Macaca fascicularis: one gene and its partners. Each later gene encodes a partner of the first gene's protein in a complex. Links are inferred from orthologs where the notes say so. Each region holds a gene or a part of one and is shown on either strand. Other genes may lie near its edges. The genes, in order: SRRM2, RNF113A and SNRPD3.

Region 1 (7,676 bases):
AAGCCACGGGAAGGACCAGCCCTGGAAGATCCGACGAAGGAGTTGTGATGTCAACCTGAAGGTGTCTGGAAGAGTTTTAAGCGGTTCAGAAGTTTGCATTTCAGGAACATTACTCCGAGGTGACAGCCACTAGGATGTCAACGATGGCTGTCTCTGGGGGTGGTGCCCCTGTGCGCTTTTTTTCTTTTTGCTGATCTGTGTGTTTTCTGCAGTGAACGTAGTTTACCTGTGCATGTCACTTTCCTAGGGCTGCCATAACAAGTCACCACGAACTTGGTGGCTTCAAACCAAAAAAGTGTGTTCCCCCACAGCTCTGGGGGCCAGAAGGCGGAGACCAAGGTGTGGACAGGGCTGTGCCCCCTCTGAAAGCTCTGGGAGAGGATCTGCAGGGCCTCTTCCAGCTTCTGGCTCCTCCTGGAGATCCCTGGCATGGGCACCGCTCCAATCTCTGCCTGGGTCTCCTACGGCCTCTTTCCCCGGGTGCCTGTGTTCTCTTGTCTTCTTGTAAGAATGTCACTCATTGGATTTAGGACCTACCCTAAATTCATGATGATTTCATCTTCAGATCTTTAACTCAACTATATTTGCAAAATCCCTTATTCCAAATAAGGTCACCTTCTGAGTATCTAGGTGGTTGTGAAGTTTTGGGGCACCACCATCCACTGCACTACAATGAATAATACAAATAAAATTTAAAGGGAAATTAAAAAATCATTCTAGGGCTGGGTGCCATGGCTCACACCTGTAACCCCAGCACTTTGGGAGGGTAAGGCAGGAGGATAGTTTGAGACCAGGAGTTCGAGACCAGCCTGAGCAACACAGGGAGACACAATCTCTACAAAAAACTACACCCACCTCTATCAAAAATACAAAAATTAGCTGGGCGGTGGAGTGCACCTGTAATCCCAGCTAATTGGGAGGCTGAGGCACAAGAATTGTAGTGCGTGGAGATCGTGCCACTGCACTCCAGCCCGGGTTAGGAGTGAGACTCTGTCCCCCCCAAAAAAAAAAAAAATAGAGAAAAGACACGAAGAGAAATTTCTTCAAAGATGCACAAATGGCCAACAAGCACATGAAAAGATTCTCAGCATCATCAGCCATTAGGATACTGCAAACCATGTTTTGTCACTATTCACGGGCATTAAATGTGCTGATGCACGCACGAAACAGTTCATAAAGGTATCAGTGGGGGTACAGGAAAGGGTCTCATTGGAGGTACTGGGGTCTTTAACCAGTAAGGCAAAGCCTTTGCCACTTTGCTATGCCACTCCCAAGGTGCGCCCGGCTTACAGAAGCACCGTCCACAGATGCAGAGTTCAAGCACTCAAACCAGCGATCAGAGCTCCTGCAGGAGTTGGGGGTGGAGGGGGGAGGGTCTCCCGGCTCCAGCATCTGAGATGAGTAGATCCTCCCACGGGCAAGTGAAAAACAAAAGTTAAAGCCGGATGTGGGCCGGGCGTGGTGGCTCACGCCTGTAATATCAGCACTTTGGGAGGCTGAGGAGAGCAGATCACCTGAGGTCAGGAAACTGAGACAAGCCTGGCCAATATAGTGAAACCCCGTCTTTACTAAAATTTACAAAAATTAGCCGGGCGTGGTGTCACACGCCTGAATTCCCAGCTACTCGGGAGACTGAGGCAGGAGAATCACTTGAACCGGGGAGACAAAGGTTGCATTTAGCCGAGATCACGCCGTTGCACTCCTGCCTGGGTGACAAGAGTAAAACCACGTCAAAAAAAAAGAAACAAAAAAACAATTGCCAGATAGGGTGTTGTGCACGGCTAGTCCCAGCTACTTGGGAGGCTGAGGTCGGAGGATCGCTTGAGCTCCAAATTCGAGAACAGCCTGGGCAAGACCCTGCCTCTTAAAATCACGCCCAAATCGTAGTATCAAATATAAATCTTTGCACTCAAACGGACAGTTCATTACGTGGCACCGAGTCCTGTTGCGGATCAAGGCCACCTGAGTTGGTTAGGACAGCTAAGCCCACGTCTTGGGCTGCTCGCCAGCGGTGGGGCTAGATATGACCTTGTGCCCGAGCAGCCCAGCGTCTTACAACTCTGCTGTGAGGGACGGGGGCTGATTATCAGGTCCAGAATCACGAGTTTAGAAACATTAACAGGAAGTACGGTACCGAAAAGTGGAAAACTTTAAGGTGCTTATTATTTTTCTCCTGACTTGTTCCTGCATGTGCCGCTCCACGGGTATGACGTCCCGGGTCCGGTGGGACCCTGGCCTGGCTGCCCTACCGGAAGCGAAGCGAACTCCACCCCCAGGGGCAGCCGTCGGGCCTCAGTCCAGTCTACATCGGGAGAGCGTGGCCCATGCCACAGGCAGCTGGTTGGGCCCCTGGCACAAGTCTAGGGCCTGCAGCCAGGCTCGGGGGCTCCGGGGGTGCCCGCTGGCTGGGGTCTGAGGCGGCTTCTCTCGGGTACGAGAAGGCCGACTGCTGTGCAGCCGCGGGCTCGCTCGGGAAACCCACACTTACACAAAAGCGGCAGCACCACTGTGCCTAGGCTATCGACTCCCAACATGGGGAGACAAAATGGCCGCCGCGCCCAGAGCCGAAATTACATCCGGGCTCCGCGACACGTACGAACCACAACTCCCAGAATGCTCTGCCTCGACGGCGGGAGGCGAGACGCGCTCGGGCCCCGCTTAGGTGGCGCTAGGCCCTGTGGCTCCTCCCTGCAGCGGAAGGCCTCCGAATACGCGGCGTGTTAGGTCGATTCCTCCATTCTTCGTTGCACTGGCCAACGGGACGCTTAGTCTTTTGGCAACAGGGTGAAACCTGCCTTGTGCCTGAAGAAACGATACTTCCCGTTGTGGTTTCGGCGCCTGCGCAAAAGGCTGCGGGACGCACTCCAGTTCCCGGCAAGCCCCGCGACGCGCGTTTGCGTGCTGACGCACGGAGTTAGTCGTGCTGACGTGCATCGCGGCCCAGGCGGGGTACGAGTGGCGCAGTCGGAGCCCGCTGCGGCCCCTGAGGAAGCCAGGAGGCGTCGGCGTCGGCTGAGGCGGGCGGACCGGCGAGGCGAGGCGGCGGCCTCAGGCCCCGAGGGACTCGGGAGCTCGCGCAGCGGCGGCGGCAAGACCTCTCCCCCTCGGAGGCGGCGGGCGGAGGCGGCGGGTGAGAGGGTGAGGGAGCCAGCGAGCCGGGTGGGGGAGGGGCGGCGGCCTCGGCGCGAGGCCAAAGCGCGCGGAGAACGGCCCAGGCCGCCGAGCTCTTCCGCGCGCACGCGCGCTCGCCGCCCTTCGCTGGCGCGGACACCTTCGCCTCCCTTCCCCCTTCCCGCCGTTCCTGTCGCGCGCGGGCTTCGACCCCCCCGTCCCTCCCCCATGACAACGGCGCTCGCAGCCGCCTGTACTGGGGTTCGCGAGCGCCCTTGGCGAGGGGGGAGCGCGCCGCCTCGGCTTCACTCCTCCCCACCACACGTGCGGCCGAGGGGCCTTCCCGCAGCTGCCGCTTTCGGCCCTTAAGTGACGGGGAAGGGGCGGCGGCGGGGGACGTGCTCCCGGACCCTTGCCCCAGGCTCTCGATCTCTTGTTCTCGGGCTTCTCTTCAGCGTTGGGCTGCCCGTGCCAGGGGCCTCCCAGACTGCGGGACGCCGCGCAGCCCCCTCCCCCATTCTGCAAGGCCGAAAATAGGCCCCCGGCGCTGCGAGGAGGGCCTTGAACTCCGTGGGCCCGGTTTAAATGGTTTGGACTGTGCTATCAAGCCTTTGAGTTGTTAGTGGCGGGGAGAAACCCCAGATCTTAAAAATTGTGAAGAAAGTGAAGGCATTCAGTTTACATTTGTAAGGTAGACTGTTCCTTTTTTTCTTACACTTTTTTAACATTTCCCGAGAATTCGTGTTAAAACTAAGGAGGCTTCTGGAGACCTTCGTTGGGAAGAAAACGCCAGACTCGTATATAAGTTTTCTGGTTGGTTTCAGGCGTTATTTGGCACACAGCTCTTCTGAAGCTTGGTTTCCACTCGCCTTCAGTTAGGACGAATCTGGATCAAAATTTCAGAATGTTTTGTTGCCTTTCATCCTAAGTGCGTGGGCTTAGGGCTCTTCTAAAGCTACTATTTTAGTTTTCTGGGTTCTTTGTGTCCACTCAGCCGCGCTGGAGCGCCCCGGTGCTGAGCTGGCTGTGCTTCCTGAGGTCCATTTTCTTGGACAACCCTTGTGTCCCCTTTTGGTACCGTTTCCTTTTTTGCATATTTTAATGTTGAATTTAAGGATATCTTTCTACTTCCTTGTTAGCTTGGCACTCTGATAGTTTCCCAACAGAAAAGGGTCTTTTTGTCTTTCTTTGTACCTTTTATTTTCTGCTTTTACCTTGGTTAACTTTTGCATATCCGCTGTCTATGGCCCCCACTTTAAGAGTTTTATAAAATCGTTTGGTTTGGTGATTTGTGTGTGGTGTCGATGTTCCTACTTTCCGTGTCTTAGCACCCCCTTAGATGCTGTGGGGTCGTCGTCTTTTTTTGTGAGGTAGGGGTGGCTCATTCCCTAAAAGTTCTCCGAAACATTGTGACCTAATATCCTTTGCTTAGCACCTACTGGTTTTCCTTTTTTTTCTTTTTTTTTTCTTTTTTTTTTTTTTTTTGAGACGGAGTCTAGCTCTGTTGCCAGTCTGGAGTGCAGTGGCGCGATCTCAGCTCACTGCAACCCTCCGCCTCCCGGGTTCAAGCGATTCTTCTGCCTCAGCCTACAGCCTACGGAGTGGCTGGGATTACAGGCACGCGCCGCCCCCCAGCTAATTTTTGTATTTTTAATAGAGACTGGGTTTCACCATGTTGGCCAGGCTAGTGTCAATCTCCTGACTTGGTAATCTGCCCACCTCGGCCTCCCAAAGTGCTGGCATTACAGGCGTGAGCCACCTTACTCGGCCTGGGTTTCCCTTCGGTTTTCCCTTCTTAGGGAGTGGGAGGATTTTTGTGTGAGGTGGTATGGAAGTGTGGGTGAATGGTTGAGCTGAAGAATTAATTGCAGGTCAAAGACATGCCTGCAAGGGAAGCAGAAATTTGGTGGGGTAGGGAGAGGCAAAGAAGGACCTAGTTTTAAACTGTGGGGAGGATTGGAACTAGAAGATGAAAATGAGGATTGGGGTGTAGAGAAATTGATTTTTTGAGTCATAATGTTTTTCATTTTTTCCTGGATTTTTGCTTGCCTTTTCCAGGTTTAGTTTCCTCTGTCACCTTCTACTTTCGATATTGGGTCTGCTACTGGGATTGGGTAGGGACCCATCCTTAGTCTAGGGTGAGGAGGTATGGGCTAGCACCCTTCTATATACTCTGTGTGCGTGCATGCACTAGTATATTTTTCCAAACATTTGTATGATGCTTCTTCATTCTGGAATTTTCTAAATGCATCCTTCCCTTTTATCCAGTTCTTTTACGTCTTTGATCACTCTCTCCACTTTGTCTATTCCATAGGGTTTTTTCTGGGTAGTTTTTCCTCATACGTGTATGTTCTAGGAAACTATCTTGGAGAGGATGAGGATGAGAAAGAGAGTATGTGTAGCCAAGGAATCTCACTAGAAAAGCTGGGACTTGAGAATTTTTCAGAGTCACATCAGGGTTGGGACTAGTTGAAAGGCTAGAACTTGGGACGAGGCATGGGGTTAACACAGGAAAGAAGGAAGCGGCAGGGCTGGGAGAAAAAAAACTAGGAAGTGCTATCCAGGGGATTGGTGGGGAAGGCCAACAGTTGGAGATTAATGAAAGTGGGGTGTAGAGAGGGTTTCTAGATAGATTTAGAGCAAGGAATATGGAGAAGGTATGGGAACGGTTGGAACAGAGACTGATTTGATGTGTTTAAATAGAGCAGAGTTGAAAGCAGATAATATTTGACAGCTGGCAAGACTTGGAGGAACTGCAAATTGTAGTAAATCCTATTGAGAGGAAAGAAATTGGAGGAATTGGAGGAATAAAAGATCAGGATGGTTGATAGGATCTTTAAATATTTGGAATCAAGGAAATGGCCCTTACCTGGGAGGTGAAGTGTATGAAGATTATCCAAGGTTCATGTGTGTTTCTGATGTGCGTGCTGACCTTTAGTTGGGGTGTGAGGCTGCACATTCTGAACCAAGTAGTCTGCTGTTCAGATACCTAGGGACTGTGTAGTTTATTTCGTATTCATATAGGGTGGTCTGAAATCCGTAGGTCAGTTTTTGGGAGAGTCTTTGGACATGGACTAGAGGCCCTTGGGTGCCACAGATCTATGTCTGGTATTTGTTGTGCCTTGGTTGGTTACTAGAGGTTAGAAAGTAGAGTAGTTGGTAAGATGCTCCTTGTGCATTTTGGGGCCAAAGGAAAATGAAAAGGGACAGTGTGGAGAGATTTTAGAGGAACAAGATCCTTGTTTGCCTAGGGTGGAAAAAGAAGAAAATCTAGGTGCAGGGAGGGATTATTTAGAATTCTGTGCAAGGGCATTGAGAGAAAGGTTGTAAGAACTGGGCTGTGATTTGGTAGGAAATTTGGAAGGACGAAGAAGTGGTTTTTTTGGCAGACCAGGAGGATGGTGGAGCGTTATATAGTGAAGACTTAGTGTGAAGATAAATGTTGAAATAGGGATGAAGGAGAGCAGGGACTTGGGTGTGGGGTGGTAAGTGGTTAGTTTGGGGCCAGGGGCCTGACCCGTGTCTCCCCGCTCCCCCTCAGGAGCGGTGGTGCCCCCCCCCGGGCACGGGGCCATGTACAACGGGATCGGGCTGCCGACGCCCCGGGGCAGCGGCACCAACGGCTACGTCCAGCGCAACCTGTCCCTGGTGCGGGGCCGCCGGGGTGAGCGGCCTGACTACAAGGGAGAGGAGGAACTGCGGCGCCTGGAGGCTGCCCTGGTGAAGCGGCCTAATCCTGACATCCTGGACCACGAGCGCAAGCGGCGCGTCGAGCTGCGATGCCTCGAGCTGGAGGAGATGATGGAAGAGCAGGGGTGAGGGAGAGCTGGGGGAGAGTCAAGCACTGAATGAGTGCAGAGCTGGGGGTGTTAGGTGGGATGTAGGGAGCTTAGGGTGGTTGAAAGAGTCCTGGCAAGGAGTTGTGGTAGGGGAGGAGGCAAATGAGCTCTAGAGAATTGAAAACAGTTAAGGGACAGTGCAGAGTGGGAAATGAGAAGGCTGTGTGTCTGAGGCATAGATGGGAGCCTGAGGGATTAAATGGAGGCACATGGGAGAAGGGAGGGGCCGTTGAGGAACAAAAATGTGTTTCAGGGGAGAGATGGGAAAGCAGAGACCAGATAGAGGAGCTAGGTAAGCTGATAGGTGTTGTCATTGGTAGAAAAGAAGAAGAATGGATATAAGGATTGAGACCTTGGAAAGTAGCATGGGCAGGAAAAGAGGAATTAGAAGAACATTTGAAGAGGGAATCATGGGCTGGGAAGGGAAATTTTGGAAAAGGAGCACATTAAGGCAGAAAACTTTTAGAGCAGTGGTTTTAAACTTCAGCAGTGGTGACCCTTTTATACAGTATCCCTCACTTTGGAATCCCAGGAAATAAAAGGCACGTTCTTGTTGAAGTTGGGGAGGAGCACTTGAAACCCTGCTTGCTTAATTTTTTTCTTTTGGCCCCTGAAGTGTAGCATATTTAAAATCCACTGTTCTAGCGGGAGTAGTAGGTAGAGGGAAGAAAGATAATGGGAAAAGATTAGACTGAAGAGAAGGAACTTTTGGGTGACAGCGAGTGA
Region 2 (6,724 bases), on another chromosome or scaffold:
CTAAAAATACAAAAAATTAGCCGGGCGTGGTGGCAGGCGCCTGTAGTCCCAGCTACTCGGGAGGCTGAGGCAGGAGAATGGCGTAAACCCGGGAGGCGGAGCTTGCAGTGAGCTGAGATCCGGCCACTGTACTCCAGCCTGGGTGACAGAGCGAGACTCCGTCTCAAAAAAAAAAAAAAAAAAAAAAAAGATAACAACTCAAAGTATATCTTTTTCCATAATGCTTTATTCTACTTTTGAATAACTATTTTTATTTTTTAGAGATGGGAGTCTCGCTATGTTGCCCAGGCTATTGTCAAACTCCTGAGCTCAAGTGATCCTCTAATCTTGGCCTCATGAAGCCCTGGGATTACAGGCATGAGCCACTGTGTCCAACCCTGAATAACTTTTTTTAGTATAAATTATCAGAAATAGTAAAAAAAAAAAAAAAAAAAGAACAATTTTTCTGGTTCTTTTGCTACTCACTGCCATATTTCTTTTTTCTTTTCTTTTTTTTGAGACAGGGTCTCACTCCTGTCACCCAGGTTGGAGTGTAGTAGTGCAATCATGGCTCACTGCAGCCTTGATCTGGGCTCGAGGGATCCTCCCACGTCAGCCTCCTGAGTAGCTGGGACTATAGGTGCACATCACCACACCTAGCTAAAATTTTTGCTTTTTTTTTTTATAGAGACGGGGGTTTCCCTATGTTGCTCAGGCTGGTCTCCAACTCCTGGCCTCAAGTGATCCTCCCATCTCAGCTTTTAAATGTGCTGGGATTACAGGTGTGAGCCACTGTGCCTTGCCTCCACGACACTTCATTTATTTCATTTTCATCTGAAGTTTTGTGTAGGACATGACACTTTTCAAAATGCTTTCCTAGGCCAGGTATGGTGGCTCACACCTGTAATCCCAGCATGCTGGGAAGCTGAGGTGGGAGGATTGCTTGAAGCCAGGAGTTTGAGATGGGCTTGGGCAACATAGGGAGATTCTATTTGAAATTAAAAGAAACAAAACAGGCAGGGTGCGGTGGCTCACCCCTGTAATCCCAGCACTTTGGGAGGCCCAGGCAGGCGGATCACATGAGGTCAGGAGTTCGAGATCAGCTCGGGAGGCTGAGGCAGAATTGCTTGAACCTGGGAGGCGGAGGTTACAGTGAGCTGAGATCATGCCACTGCACTCCAGCCTGGGTGGCACAGCGAGACTGTCTCAAAAACAAACAAAGTCATTATTGAATGTCCAGCTCCATGAGGGCAGGGGCTGTGTCTGTCTTGTTCACTGCTAATATCCCCCATGCCAAGCACAGTGCCTGATAGAGTAGCTACTCAAATAATATCTTTAAGCTGGGTGCGGTGGCTCATGCATGTAATCCCAGCACTTTGGGAGGCCGAGGCGGGCGGATCACGAGGTCAGGAGTTCAAGACCAGCCTGACCAATATGGTGAAACCCTGTCTCTACTAAAAATACAAAAATTATCTGGGTGTGGTGATGCACTTCTATAGTCCCAGCTACTCAGGAGGCTGAGGCAGGAGAATCGCTTGAACCTGGGAGGCAGAGGTTGCAATGAGCCGAGATTGCACCACTGCACTCCAGCCTGGATGACAGAGCAAGACTCTGTCTTAAAAAAAAAAAAAAAAAAAAAGGATGTCTTTAAACGGATTAATGAATGTGAATAAAAACCACTAACCCAGAATTTATTCTTGCATCTGTTTCTTGGGATTAGCCCAAATTCTAGCCATATCAATAAAAATTTACTAATCATTTGGCCTAACTGGCCTCCCTGCCTCTTGTCTTCCATCTCCCTTGTGATCCATCCTATAGCCGCAACCACAGTAACACTAAAACAAACAAAAAACCCCGTCTGATTGTGTTCTCTTCCCAAACCTCTGCTATCTCCCCCACTGCCTACAGAATACAGTCAGTGCTCCTCAGCTTGGATTCAAGGCTTTGGCCCCAATCTCCCTTTTTAAACCTCTCCAGGCTTATTTATTAAGTGCTTATTATATGCCAAGCACTAGGCTAGTCACCGAGTTCATAAACCAGTTGGAAAGACAGGTACATCCACTAATTTTAATAAGGTGTGATCAACACTATTACAGAGACTGTGAGAACACAGATAGTTTCAGGTAATGGATGATAAAATACTATGTTTTTGCCCTTTGCAGGTTCACAAGTTCAGTCTACAATAGCAATGTCCAATACAGTGGTCAGCCACATTTCAAGTACTCAACAGTCACATGAGGCTAGTGTCTATCACACTTGGATAGCTGAGCACAGATACTTTTATCATCCATGGAAGAGGGGGTTAACTATAGCTGCTTCCAAGACAGCAAGGGAGCCGGGTGCGGTGGCTCACGCCTGTGATCCCAGCACTTTGGGAGGCCTAGGTGGGCGGATGCCGAGGTGGGCGGATCACGAGTTCAGGCGATGAAGACCATCCTGGCTAATATGGTGAAACCCCGTCTCTACTAAAAATACAAAAAGTTAGCTGGGCGTGGTGGCAAGCGCCTGTAGTCTCAGCTACGCGGGAGGCTGAGGCAGGGGAATCGCTTGAACCCGGGAGGCGGAGGTTGCAGTGAGCTGAGATCGCGCCATTGCACTCCAGCCTGGACAACAGAGCGAGACTCCGTCTCATAAATAAATAAATAAATAAATAACCCAGACAGCAAGGAACATTTCCCATATGTGAAGCCTGTGGTACTAGCTACCAATTCCCCAAACGCAACCCCTCTCCCCAACACCTTGGCTCCGGTATATTTTGTAGTACAGGCTCCCAAGAGAAAGAATGCATGAAAGTACTTTGTAAACTATTAAGTGATACAGAAATGTGATATGATAAACAGGCTCAGAGTTCTTACTTTCGTCATAGCTTTGGCTACTTCAAGCAAATTATAGCTCTTTTCTCAAACTACTCCCACCCCTATAATTGATGCCAAAGTGTTCTGAAAAGAAACACAGGCAAAATGGTTATCCTAGGGCTAAAAATCCTGATTATACCTACCTTGAGGTTTTTAATCCAGGACCCTACTTCACCACCCGCCTTCTCTGTCACTGTCTCTACAAAGGAAGGACACGAATTAAGACTTCCAAAAGAACAAAATATTTATTATTTAAATTTAAGAATTATCAGACAGCTAAGTAACGGGAATTGGATCCTCATCGGGGTCTTCTGGCAAGTCGGAAGCACCACCACCCTCTCCTGTAGCTCGATGCTTCTCTAGTTTAGCAATCAATTCTTTCGCTGGATTGAAGACGCCATTGGTCTGCTGGTCACAGACATAACAGCGCGGGGTGGTGCGGAAATGCTGCAGTGCACAGCTCTCGCAGAAATAATGCCTGCACTTGGTGACAACTGGGTTTTGGAAGCTCTGGCGACAGATGAAACACTTGAATGGTATTTCCTCATCATCGCTTCCCACTTCATAGTTTTCATCCTCATAGACACCATAGCGACCCTCATCAAGCTCACGTTCGATCTGCCACCCATGCTTGTAATCTGAACGGTCATGGAGGAATTTGCAGCTGTCTCCGAAGCCGCAGAAGCCAGTCTCTTTGTAGTCCTTACAGATGTCGGGCTGGTAATCCCAGCGCACGGTGGCACGTAGATGCTCGGGCGCTCGGATGGGGCCCTTCCTCACCATCCCGGAAGAGGCATTGCCCATAGACGTATCCTTGGGCTTCATGTATTTCTGATAATTGTTGATTCCCCGATAGATCTTGTCATCCTCCTTGCCCCTCAGCTCCTCCTGGATCTTCTGGCTGCGCTCAAAGATGGCTTGTGCATCGCGCTCTTTCTCTGTGTCCAGCTCATAGACAGCTGTCGCCCCCATATCCTCTGGTCCCACGGGTTTCGCCGAGCGGGTGGATTTATAAACCACGCCGAGACTCTCGGGCTCATTTTCCTCCTCCTCCTCGCTGCTCAAGTCGCCGTAAGCTGCCTTCTGTTTACCACTGTCACGAGTCTTCTGTATCATTGGATTGTGAGTCGCCCGCTTCTTTTCCGGTCGAACCACAGTGCAGCCTTCGTCGCTACTGCTGCCGCTGTCTCCGGGCTCTGGGTCGCAGGCCGGGCGCTTTCTGCGTCCAGCAGCCCCTTTCCGCCCAGGCTTTTTGAAAAGGAAGGTGCACACCTGATCCGCCGTCTTCCCTGGAGAAAACTGCTCTGCCATTTTAGAGTCCCGAGCTCCGAAACGGCCGTCGCTGCCTGGGTTGCACTTGGCCTCTGCGCGTTACTCCACGTCGCGCGCTCCGCCGGGAGTCGAAGCAAAAGACACTGACGGAAGAGAACTGCGAGAGCGCGAGCGCCAGCCTCTCTTGAGCCCTGGCAGATCCCGTCGCTTCCTCCGGAGCCGTACGTGGCACCGCCCCGCTCGCGGGCGGCCGCGGGGCTTACTGGGAAGGGAGCCGAAGCCCGGTCACCTTTCAAGGACCCAGAAGTAGGGTTTTGGCCTAGATAACGGGGCAGAGATGTGGTTCGAGATTCTCCCCGGACTCGCCGCCATGGGCGTGTGCTTGCTTATTCCAGGACTGGCTACTGCGTACATCCAGAGGTTCACTAACGGGGGCAAGGTAAGGCGGCTTCCTGGGCCCGGGGGCTGACTCCACTGGCTGATTTCTGAAAAGGATGGTGGGCAGAGAGGCCGTCAGCCTGCGGACCCTCTCTCCGAGGCCGGCCCTCTACTTTCTTCCGGTTGCCTAGAAGCCGAGGCTTGCGAAACGAAGCGCGGTAGAAACCACATCCTGCTCTGGTGAAAAACAGCGTTTCTGGGTGTATCAAAGTGGGCCTTAGGGCAGAGTAGCGACGCGGGGGCCGGAAAGGTAGATTAGAAGAGGTGGCTCAAGCCTGAGAATCCCTCACTGCAACCTCCGCCTTCCGGGTTCAAGAGATTCTCCTGGCTGAGCGCGGTGGCTCACGCCTGTAATCCCAGCACTTTGGGAGACCGAGGCGGGCGGATCACCTGAGGTCGGGAGTTCGATACCAGCCTGACCAACATGGGGAAACCCCATCTCTACTAAAAATACAAAATTAGTGGGGCGTGGTGGCGCATGCCTGTAATCCCAGCTACTCGGGAGGCTGAGGCAGGAGAATCGCTTGAACCCAGGAGGCGGAGGTTGCAGTGAGCCGAGATCGCGACACTGCACTCCAGCCTGGGCAACAAGGGCGAAACTCCGTCTCAAAAAAAAAAAAAAAAATTTTTCCTGCCTCACCCTCCTGAGTAGCCGGGACCACGCCCGGCTATTTATTTATTTATTTTGGTAGAGACGGGGGTTTCATCATGTTGGCGAGGCTGGTCTCGAACTTCTGACCTCAGGTGATCCACCCGCCTTGACCTCCCAAAGTGCTGGGATTACAGGCGTGAGCCGCCGCTCCCGGCCACCCTTGACTTTTTTATTCCCCACTTTCTCTTGCAAGCGTTTAGGAATTTACTGCAAGGTCTTGTGTTTTACATCAGGATTCATTTTCCCCTCTTAGCCCTTCACATCATCTCTAGAGTACAGAGTATAAATTTACTTACTTTTTGAATTTGTGATTGTCCACGTGTGATCTACAGCTGTTGTTTCTTAGTGTCCCAAAAGGCAACAACTAGATATTTCTTTTTTTTTTCTTTTTTTTAAAAAGGAAAAAAAATTCATGTTGGTTAAAATAGTGTAAGAAGTCACGGTCACCAACTTAATCCTAAAGTGTAGTGGTCTGATTTTATTTAGGAGATTCTGTTCTTGTACTACTAATTTGCATTTTTATTTGAATGATGATTCCATTTCTCTAGAATGTCCCTTCTAAAAATTGTAATATCCATCAACTGGGTCACTCACTTTTATAAACTGCAACAATAATTGTCTCTTATTTGAAGGAAAAAAGGATTGCTCATTTTGGGTATCACTGGAATCTGATGGAAAGAGATAGGCGCATCTCTGGAGTTAATCGTCACTATGTGTCAAAGGTAAGAAGCCACTCTGATGCCAGCCTTCTGCCAGGGTTGAGGTGGGTTCTGGTAATGCCTTGCCAAGGGTCATACAATGCTAATATATAACTAGCATTTTCTTGTCTACTAGTGAGGTTGGCATCTTTTTACATATTTAATCTTTTATGTTTCTTATTTTTTTTAGTTTTTCTTACTGTCATATATTTCTTATTCTGTGGATTGTTGCCTATATCCTTTGCCTGTTCTATTGTTTTGTCTTTTTTCTTTTCAATCTATAGTTCTTTATATATTCTAGACTTTTAATTTTTTGTCTATTTTATATATGACAAACATTTTTCCCAGTCTGCTGTTTGTCTTTTTCACTTTATGATGTTTTTCATCAGGTAGTTTTAAATTTTGATATTCAATTTATCATGTTTTGTTGCTCTGCATTCTGAGTTTTTATGTCTCCCATACAAAGGCCTTTTCTACCTAAGGTTATAAAAATACGTTCAAAAAATAAAATAGAGACAGTCTTGCTGTGTTGCCCTGGCTGGCCTCAAACTCATAGGCTCAAGTGATCTTGCCTCAGCCTTCAGAGGAGCTGGGACTACAGGTGTGCCACTATACCTGGCTCATAAAATTAGTTTTAAAAAATAATTTCTCCTAATATTGTTTCTTTAAAAAAAATTAGTTATTTGGTCCCATCTACAGGTCATTTTGGAGTATAATGTGAAGGGAGGATTAACTTTACTTTTTTTCAAGAGGTAGCTAGTTATCGCAATTACCCATTTATAGAACAATTTAGTAGTCCTAGCTACTCAGAAGGCTGAGGCAGGAGGATA
Region 3 (7,676 bases), on another chromosome or scaffold:
ACACAGAGAAACCCTATCTCTACTAAAAATACAAAAAATTAGCCGGGCATAGTCCCAGCTACTTGGGAGGCTGAGGCATGAGAACTGCTTGAACCCGGGAGGCAGAGGTTGCAGTGAGTTGAGATTGTGCCACTGCACTCCAGCCTGGACAACAGAGTGAGACTCTGTCTCACAAAAAAAAAAAAAAAAAAAAAAAAGGCAAGCCGGGCATGGTGGCTCACATCTGTAGTCCCAGCACTTTGGGAGGCTGAGACAAGTGGACTACAAGGTCAGGAGTTCGAGACCAGCCTGGCCAATATGGTGAAACCCGTCTCTACTAAAAATACAAAAATTAGCTGACATGGTGGCAGGTGCCTGTAGTCTCAGCTACTTGGGAGGCTGAGGCAGGAGAATCGCTTGAACCTGGAAGGCGGAGGTTGCAGTGAGCCAAGATCGCGCCACTGCACTCCAGCCTGGGCGACAGAGCAAGGCTCCATCTCAAAAAAAAAAAAAAAAAAAAAAAAAACTTTATTTAAAAAAAAACTTTATGTTAAGAAAAGTCATTAGAGTGGGCCCTATTTCTACATGCCTGGTATCCTTATAAGAAGAGATCTAGACAGAAACACTACAGAGTGAAGACCAAGTGAAGACACAGGGAGAAGAGAGCCATCTATAAGTAAGGAGAGAGGCCTGGAACAGATCCTTCCTTCACATCCCTCAGAAGAAATCAGCCTTGCCAACACCTTGATCTCAGACTTCCAGCCTTCAGATCTAGGAGAAAACAAATTTGTGTTGTCTAAGCTGCCCAATCTGTGAAACTTTGTTATTGGCAGCACTAGCATACAAATACAAGCAGGGAGGCAGGTGGCTGCCCCCCCACCATTGGTCAGGCATGTGACATGCATCTACTCATTTCTTCCGCACTATGGTTCCTTCTGAAGCCAAGGAGCTATTTTTATCCCTGACTTAGAAGAGGGACCAGAGGACGAAGGAGGTCCAAAGCTCACCCCAAGTCACCCTAGGTGGCAGGCTGCAAGCTGATTCCAGGTCTGTCTGACTCCAAGTTCTGTGCACTTTGTGTCACGTGGACTGCATCTCTGAATGGCCACCGAGGTTATCTGGTTAGACACCTTCATGTTATGGATGGGATGACAAAGGCCCTGGAAACCCAGCAGGTTGTCCAAATACATATAGCTAGATGACAAACCCATTAAGATTCACTAACCCAAGTCCTGCATTCTCCTTACCAAATTAAAGTACCTTAAAGTGGATGAGCATGCCTTAAGCCAGAGGTCTGGATATATGAAAGAGAGATGATAAACCTATCTACTGTCAATAGATAAACTGATCTATTGACAATGATGCAATAAACCTGAGTCACCAGAGGTCTACTTCTCTGCATCCAGGGAACTGACCAAGCTTGTCAACCTCGCAGGAAGATGATAGACGCTCAAAGCTACAGAAAAATCACAAATAAATGAATGGCGCAAACCAATAGATGGTCAGGATACCTGACCGTGGTGTAAGACGCTTTACCTCTCTGACCTTCTCATCTGGAAAAAAGCAGTAAACACCATACGTTGAACACTTACAGTATGTGAGGCACCGAGCAGCTATTGCACACATATAGCTCATCTGATCTTTGTAAAAGTCCTGGGGGTGTGGATATTATCCCTGTGGCAGTCTTAAGGGTGTGCTGCTCAGATCTCCCTCCAAAAGAAAACAGGCTATGAGGAGTGAAGGCAGCCGACAATCTCCATCTTTGCAGTCCACCATGGCATTCAACTTGGGGAGAGAGGCTGTCTCCCCAGGCTGCCAGCCAATGGAATGAACACACCAGGGGTGCCAGTCTGCCCATTTCTGCCCCATGTTAGACTCTTCTAATGAGCAATCACTGCCTTGCTGAGACTTCCTCAAAACTACACTGTAGTCTAAGGTTCTTCCTGCTCAATCCTCCTTCTTTCCCCTCTCGTTTCACCAGTCAGACCAGCATCACGGACTGAAAATTTCCCTGCCTACTACTGTTTCCTTGTTCCTTTATCCTTTATTGTCATTTCCCCCAATAAATACCTTGCATAATTCTGTCTTGGCATCTACATCAAAGAACCCAAAATAATAACACTCCCGTTTTACAGATGAGAAAACTGAGTGATTAATACATCTAAGGTCATATAATTAGGAATCAAACCCACATCTCTCTCTGACTCCCAAGTCCAAGTTCTTAACCAATGGTTTAAAGAACAAAGAAAGTGTGAAGATACAACTGAAAAACAATGCTATAAAAATTCAGATGACTATGCAAAAGGCAAAGCTGCGCCATGAGAAGGACACCGTATCAAGAAACTACTCCATTATTTACTATCAGAGTGATGAGTCCTTTAATCTCATTCTCCCTATTTTATGGATGACAAGACTACCACCAAACCTGCTTACCTCACAAGGTAGTTGCAATAATCAAATGAGACTCCTCCTCCAAGAGAAAAGGGAAACAAACACAGTATGTGAGAAGATTCTCCTAACTGCAAAGCAAGTGGAGGCAAATGGATAATGGCTCTGAACCTGAAGGATTCTACTGAAGGAACTTCTCCCAAACAGGTCCCCAAATTTGGGGATGGAAAAAACAAAAAAGGCGAAGTAAAATATTCCAAATCTCCAAATGGCTTTTCTGCCTCAAGACTATGTGTTTTGTTCATGCCCACATCCCCAGAGCCTATAACAGCACCTGACTGGTATGTGTTAGGCACTCAGGAAATCATTGCTGAATGAGAACAATTTACAGAAGACCCCCAACCCACACCTTTCTGTCCTTCAAGACACAGGGCCATTCCTCCCACACAGCCTCACATGCAAAGCAGAATACCTGGCAGTTCATGTTGTCCTCTGCTTCAATGAGCTTCCCCCGATATACCTCACCGGTGTTCGTCTCACATGTCACAATGTGGCCCTCGGCCTCGTGCAGCACTTTAATTGGCACACCAATAGACATCTTGGCAGGAAGAGAGCTCTACAGTGAAAGAGACAACAGTCAGTTCATCTTTCAGAGTCTGAGAAGGCATGCGGCACACGTCATGCCTCCTTCAAGGCCTGGCACTCCATAAAACTTAGCAAAAACGCCAAAGCTGCATTTTCTATCAAAGAAAAAGAAAAAAGAAAGCTCAGCTCCTGGCTTGGAGGAAACTATCTGGCAAATATGTGCAAGATGTCGGGTGAGGAGGAATGGTGGGGTGGACAGAAGTAAAAATAGGAATGAAAAGAGAGCATCTCCCATCGACCATGTGTCCCTGCTACCCTATGTCCCTTAATCTTCAGCTAAAGGACCATTAGCGAATACTGTGTGTGTAGGGGAGGGGGATTGGAATGTTAATCTGTTGCACTGTTATTTGTCAACCCTTAATTGTAGATTATTATATTTTGAGAATCATAACACAGGCCTGAGCTGTCCAATACAGTAGCTCATGTCCACATGTAGCTATTTAAATTAAACTTAACTAAAACACAATAGAATTAAAATAAAAAACCCAGTCCCTCAATCCCAGTGGCCATATTCCAAGTGCTCAACAGCTACATGTAGCTGGTGGCTACCCTACGGAAGGAGCAGATACAGACCTAAGGACCATGCATATCTAGGAGAGGAGACTGTACTTTTAATGCAGCTCTTTAACCCTTCCCTTACTTTACCATCAAGGATATTGAGAAAATATCGAAGTGACAACGTGCTATATGCAGGAAATGCCCGTCATGGAGGAAAATAAGGGAAAGCACCTGACTTGACCTAATTAAAAGCATCAAGTAGTGAACTTTTTATTGACATGAGCGACGACTCAAAGTTGGAACCTAAGTGCACCTAAGACAGGAGAACATGAGGTTGAAAAGACAGGCTCCTTTGGTGAGGATCCCTGGCTTTCAGCCTTAGGAGCCTAGATTTTATGCTGAAGATAGTGGGGAACCACTGCAAAATTATAGGTAAAGAATGACACAATGAAAAGGTAGCAGCATTTATTTACAAAATGGATCTAACGTAAGGTTTAGAAGCAGAGAAACTTGTTAAAATTTCTGCAACAGTTAAAACTGCTGCAACAGTGTGGAAAGCATGACGGGACCACTGCCTGAAAGGGAGCTGGGGGCAGACATGCAAAGAACTTTTTAAAAAATGACCGGCTGGGCGCGATGGCTCACGCCCGTAGTCCCAACACTTTTGAAGGACGAAGCCGGTGGATCCCTTGAGCCCAGGAGTTCGAGACCAGCCAGGGTAACATGGTGAAACCGTCTCTACTTTAAAAAAAAAAAAAAAAAAAACCCTCATAGGATTTGACTTCAAGATTCAAAAAACTCATAGGAAATAACTTCAAGATTACTGCCTGGAAACTTTGAAAAACACTCACCTGGAGAGATACAGAATGTAAGAAGCATGCACATTGAGGGAGCAGCTAATGAACTTACTTCCAGGCGCTAGTGAGGCGACGCTGATGTTTGGGTGGTCCAAACTTCCCGCTTTCTTCCCTCCCCGAATCCCGCAGAGTTCATGCATTGAGTCTTTCTCCAGCCCCCGGCCCCTCACAGGCACCTCGACCTCCCCTCGCCCGTCCCCAGCCTCACCGGTTCTGGCCTACTTTTCCTTCTCTTCGGTGCACGGCGAAAGCCGCTACGGCGAAGGCGTGAATCAAGAGAATGGCGGGCCCAGCTCCCAGAATTCCACTCGTTCCCAAAATGCTGCGCGCAGGGCCCGCCTCCTTCCTTTCCCCAGTGGTGAGAGCGGTGTCGCCTCCGCTTCCTCCTCACCCCGCGTGCCGGCTGGGAAACTAAGGCACCAGTACGATAGTTCCGGCACCGGAAAAGAGGGCCGAAGACTGGGCCCGGGGACCGCCGCAAACAACGACCCTTGGGGCCGGCAAAGAGCCAGAGAGGGTGCTTGCACTTCCAAGCGCCCCACACCAAGGACAGGCTGGACGGCAAGGCGGAGACTCGGGGCCTGGGCCCTCAGACCGGGGGCAGCAGGAGGTTGGGCCAAGGGCCAGGACTTCCCCTCACAATTTAATTTTTTGATCCCAGCACCGCCAGGTAAGGGGCGCCCTGAGTGAGGCTACGTATCTCGTACGGATAAAGTTAGGTATAGAGTAGAGAGGAGGCCGGCTCAGGGTCATCCCTAAAGGCAGTTTAAGGAGAGTTGTTTGGAGCCTCCGGAATACACTGGGCCGGACCAGGGTTTACAGCTAAGACTGGCAAAGGAGCGGGCCCCGGCAGAGGCGGGGCTTGCTGAAGGGAGGAGCCTCTGTTCACGAAATGCACGGGCTTTGGGGCGGGGCTCAAGGAAAGGGGCGGAGCTTCCGGGTCCGCGTCTTGTTGGGCTTCGCGGCTGCGCGAGGATTGGACGAGAGGGCTGGGTCACTCGACGCTGAGGCGGTGAATGGCCGGGGCAGATTTAAATCGGGAGGCTGGGGGCCTCTAGGATCAAAGTTTGGGGCGGGGCTTAGAGAAAGGGCGGGGCCTCCAGATTCGAGACCTGGAAGGGCTGGGGCGGGGCTTGGGGCGGCCCAGCCACCGCCTCCGGTTCTCCCCTCCGCAGCGGCGGCGGTGGCGGAGAAGGAACTCGACACGCACCGACCGCCCTACCGCCCCAGCCGAAGCGGAAGCTGTAGCCCGCTCTGGGCCGGGGCCATGGGCGCCCCGCGCCGCCCGGGTCATGAGGACGGAGGCGGAGGCAGCGGGGCCGCCGCTCGAGCCCGGTCAGTGCCTCTCTGTGGGCCCAGTCTTCACCCTAGGAACGAAGGGGACCCCGCCCTAGCGCGGGGCAGGGTCCAGCCGCGCGACCTTGGGCCGACTCCCGCCTCACCCCCACACCCGCCTCGCTCCAGTCAGTGGGGGTTTCCTGACACTGGCAGGATTGCGACCCTTGTCCGCATGGTGGGAGGGTCCGGGTAGAAGGGGCGCCACCTTCCCCAGAAGCGAAAAGTCCTACTGGAGCCGCCTTGGGAGCTCTCGTGCCTTGGGGAACCGTGGAGGACTGAGGCTGGGAAGGGCAGGAAACTGGCCGAGAGCACCGAGTAATGAAAGGGCCGGTGCTCTGGCCTCCCAGAGTCGGCGTTTTGTCTTGCTCCTGTTCTTCCCCCTCTGGTTCCCTCTGCCACGCGGTAGCCTGAGCCCCTTTGGGGCGGAGACTCGGACTGGTTTTCAGTGTCTTGGCAGTTAGTTTGCTTGCCCAAGAGGTAGGGGAGGGGGAAGACGTGATTCCTGTCCTGCTGAAGGCGCAGGGTTGGTGAGGAACGGAGTGCTAGCTAGTAAACTCTCAAGTGAAGTGCCAACTGTGGGAGAGGTCAACAACATGTGGGACCCTGACCTTCAGGTGTCACTCCCAGGGAGTGTTCTCTTTTGTGTTTGCTGTGTGGAGTGGGGGGGGATTTACATCCCTCCTCCTCCAGTTGTCTAGCCCTGTGATCTGAGACAAGATACTTGCCTTTCCTGAGCCTCAGAGGAGGAAAGGCTTACATTCACAGGGACCTTTCTATGAGGCAGGCAGGCGCTGTGCGCAGTTGTTTACATGCAGTGCCTCATTAATCCTGATAACGACCCAGTGAAGTAGGTGCCCACTGTGATTTGCACTTTTTCAGCTGACCAGACTGAGTCTGAGATGGGTTAAGTATTCAAGGCTAGCACACTACCTGCCTTCCTTAGTGACAACCACTAACTGAGGTCAGACCAGGGCCTTCCAGGCAGCCCCTTGGCTCCAGGCAGCAACATCTGGCTGTGACTTTGTGTTCAGAAGGCTAAAGCTGTTACGGGGACAAATGCCAAGGCCTCGCCTAACATTATCTCCCCCAACATGAGCATCTCTAGGTCCCATCTGCCCTTGCCAAGACTGGAGATGGCCCTATGGGGCCTGCCAGGCCTCAGGATCAAGGAGTTCTCGATTGCAGGGCAAGAGGAGGAGGGGCAGCTGAGTCTCTGAGAGAGAGCTGCTGTCCTGTGCCACATTTTACAGCTGGACACGGAAAGGCATGGACAGAGTCACAGCCTGGCAGAAGATAGCTCAGCTAGTCAGTGTCACAGCTCAAGCCACAGAGTAAGGAGGGAACCTCACACAGAAGGCTGTAGTCTGGACGCCTGGGGGAAGAGGGGTGCAGAGCAGTGAAGTGGCAAGTAGGCCTGGGCATCTCAAGGTATGAGGTCTTTTTGGAAAATGCCTTCCATTCCCCAAGCATATCTAAGTGCCTGCTCTGGGCTGAGGGCTGGAAGGAGGCAAATGCAACCTCGTCTCCATCTGCCACTGAAGAATTCTCATTTTGTGCGATAGAGGAAAGCAGAGCTCTCCCACTGCTCAGCATTTTATGAGTCCCTAGGAGTTAGGGCTTAGGTGGGTTTTTAGTCACCTTTGTGTCCCCAGAGCCTAGCAAACAGTGAGTGCTTAGTAAGTTCATTTCTTCTGACCTGGCACAGTAGTAGCTCACCCCTGTAATCCCAGGACTTTGAGAGGCCAAGGCAGGAGGATTGCTTGAGCCCAGGAGTTTGAGACCAACCTGGGCAGCATAATGGGACCCCATCTCTACAAAAAAAATTTAAAAATTATCTGGGTGTGGTAGTGTGTGCCCATAGTTCCAGCTACTCAGGTGGCTGAGGTCAGAGGATCCCTTGAGCCTGGGAGTTCAGGGCTGCAGTGAGCTCTGGTCACACCACTGCACTCCAGCCTGCGCGACAGAGTGAGA

What was found.
Region 2: SRRM2 (region 1) and RNF113A share a complex: the UniProt entries of both Homo sapiens proteins name them as parts of the minor spliceosome. The link is inferred for Macaca fascicularis from reciprocal best matches to the Homo sapiens genes SRRM2 and RNF113A.
Region 3: SRRM2 (region 1) and SNRPD3 share a complex: the UniProt entries of both Homo sapiens proteins name them as parts of the minor spliceosome. The link is inferred for Macaca fascicularis from reciprocal best matches to the Homo sapiens genes SRRM2 and SNRPD3.

What each region holds. Positions count from the first base shown.
Region 1 is NC_088394.1:3,614,495-3,622,170, reverse strand, and holds the start of SRRM2 (serine/arginine repetitive matrix protein 2), read left to right. Parts: upstream 1-2,920; 5' UTR 2,921-3,130; exon of another isoform or gene 3,131-3,138; intron 3,139-6,652; 5' UTR 6,653-6,684; coding exon 6,685-6,926; intron 6,927-7,676. UniProt on the Homo sapiens protein: Required for pre-mRNA splicing as component of the spliceosome. As a component of the minor spliceosome, involved in the splicing of U12-type introns in pre-mRNAs.
Region 2 is NC_088395.1:126,230,431-126,237,154, forward strand, and holds RNF113A (E3 ubiquitin-protein ligase RNF113A), read right to left. Parts: upstream 4,252-6,724; 5' UTR 4,146-4,251; coding exon 3,111-4,145; 3' UTR 3,054-3,110; downstream 1-3,053. Other genes in the region: NDUFA1 (NADH dehydrogenase [ubiquinone] 1 alpha subcomplex subunit 1), read left to right, coding at 4,444-4,545, 5,829-5,918. UniProt on the Homo sapiens protein: Required for pre-mRNA splicing as component of the spliceosome. As a component of the minor spliceosome, involved in the splicing of U12-type introns in pre-mRNAs. E3 ubiquitin-protein ligase that catalyzes the transfer of ubiquitin onto target proteins.
Region 3 is NC_088384.1:28,877,865-28,885,540, forward strand, and holds the start of SNRPD3 (small nuclear ribonucleoprotein Sm D3), read right to left. Parts: upstream 4,665-7,676; 5' UTR 4,576-4,664; intron 2,984-4,575; 5' UTR 2,966-2,983; coding exon 2,840-2,965; intron 1-2,839. Other genes in the region: protein GUCD1, read left to right, coding at 5,660-5,702. UniProt on the Homo sapiens protein: Plays a role in pre-mRNA splicing as a core component of the spliceosomal U1, U2, U4 and U5 small nuclear ribonucleoproteins (snRNPs), the building blocks of the spliceosome.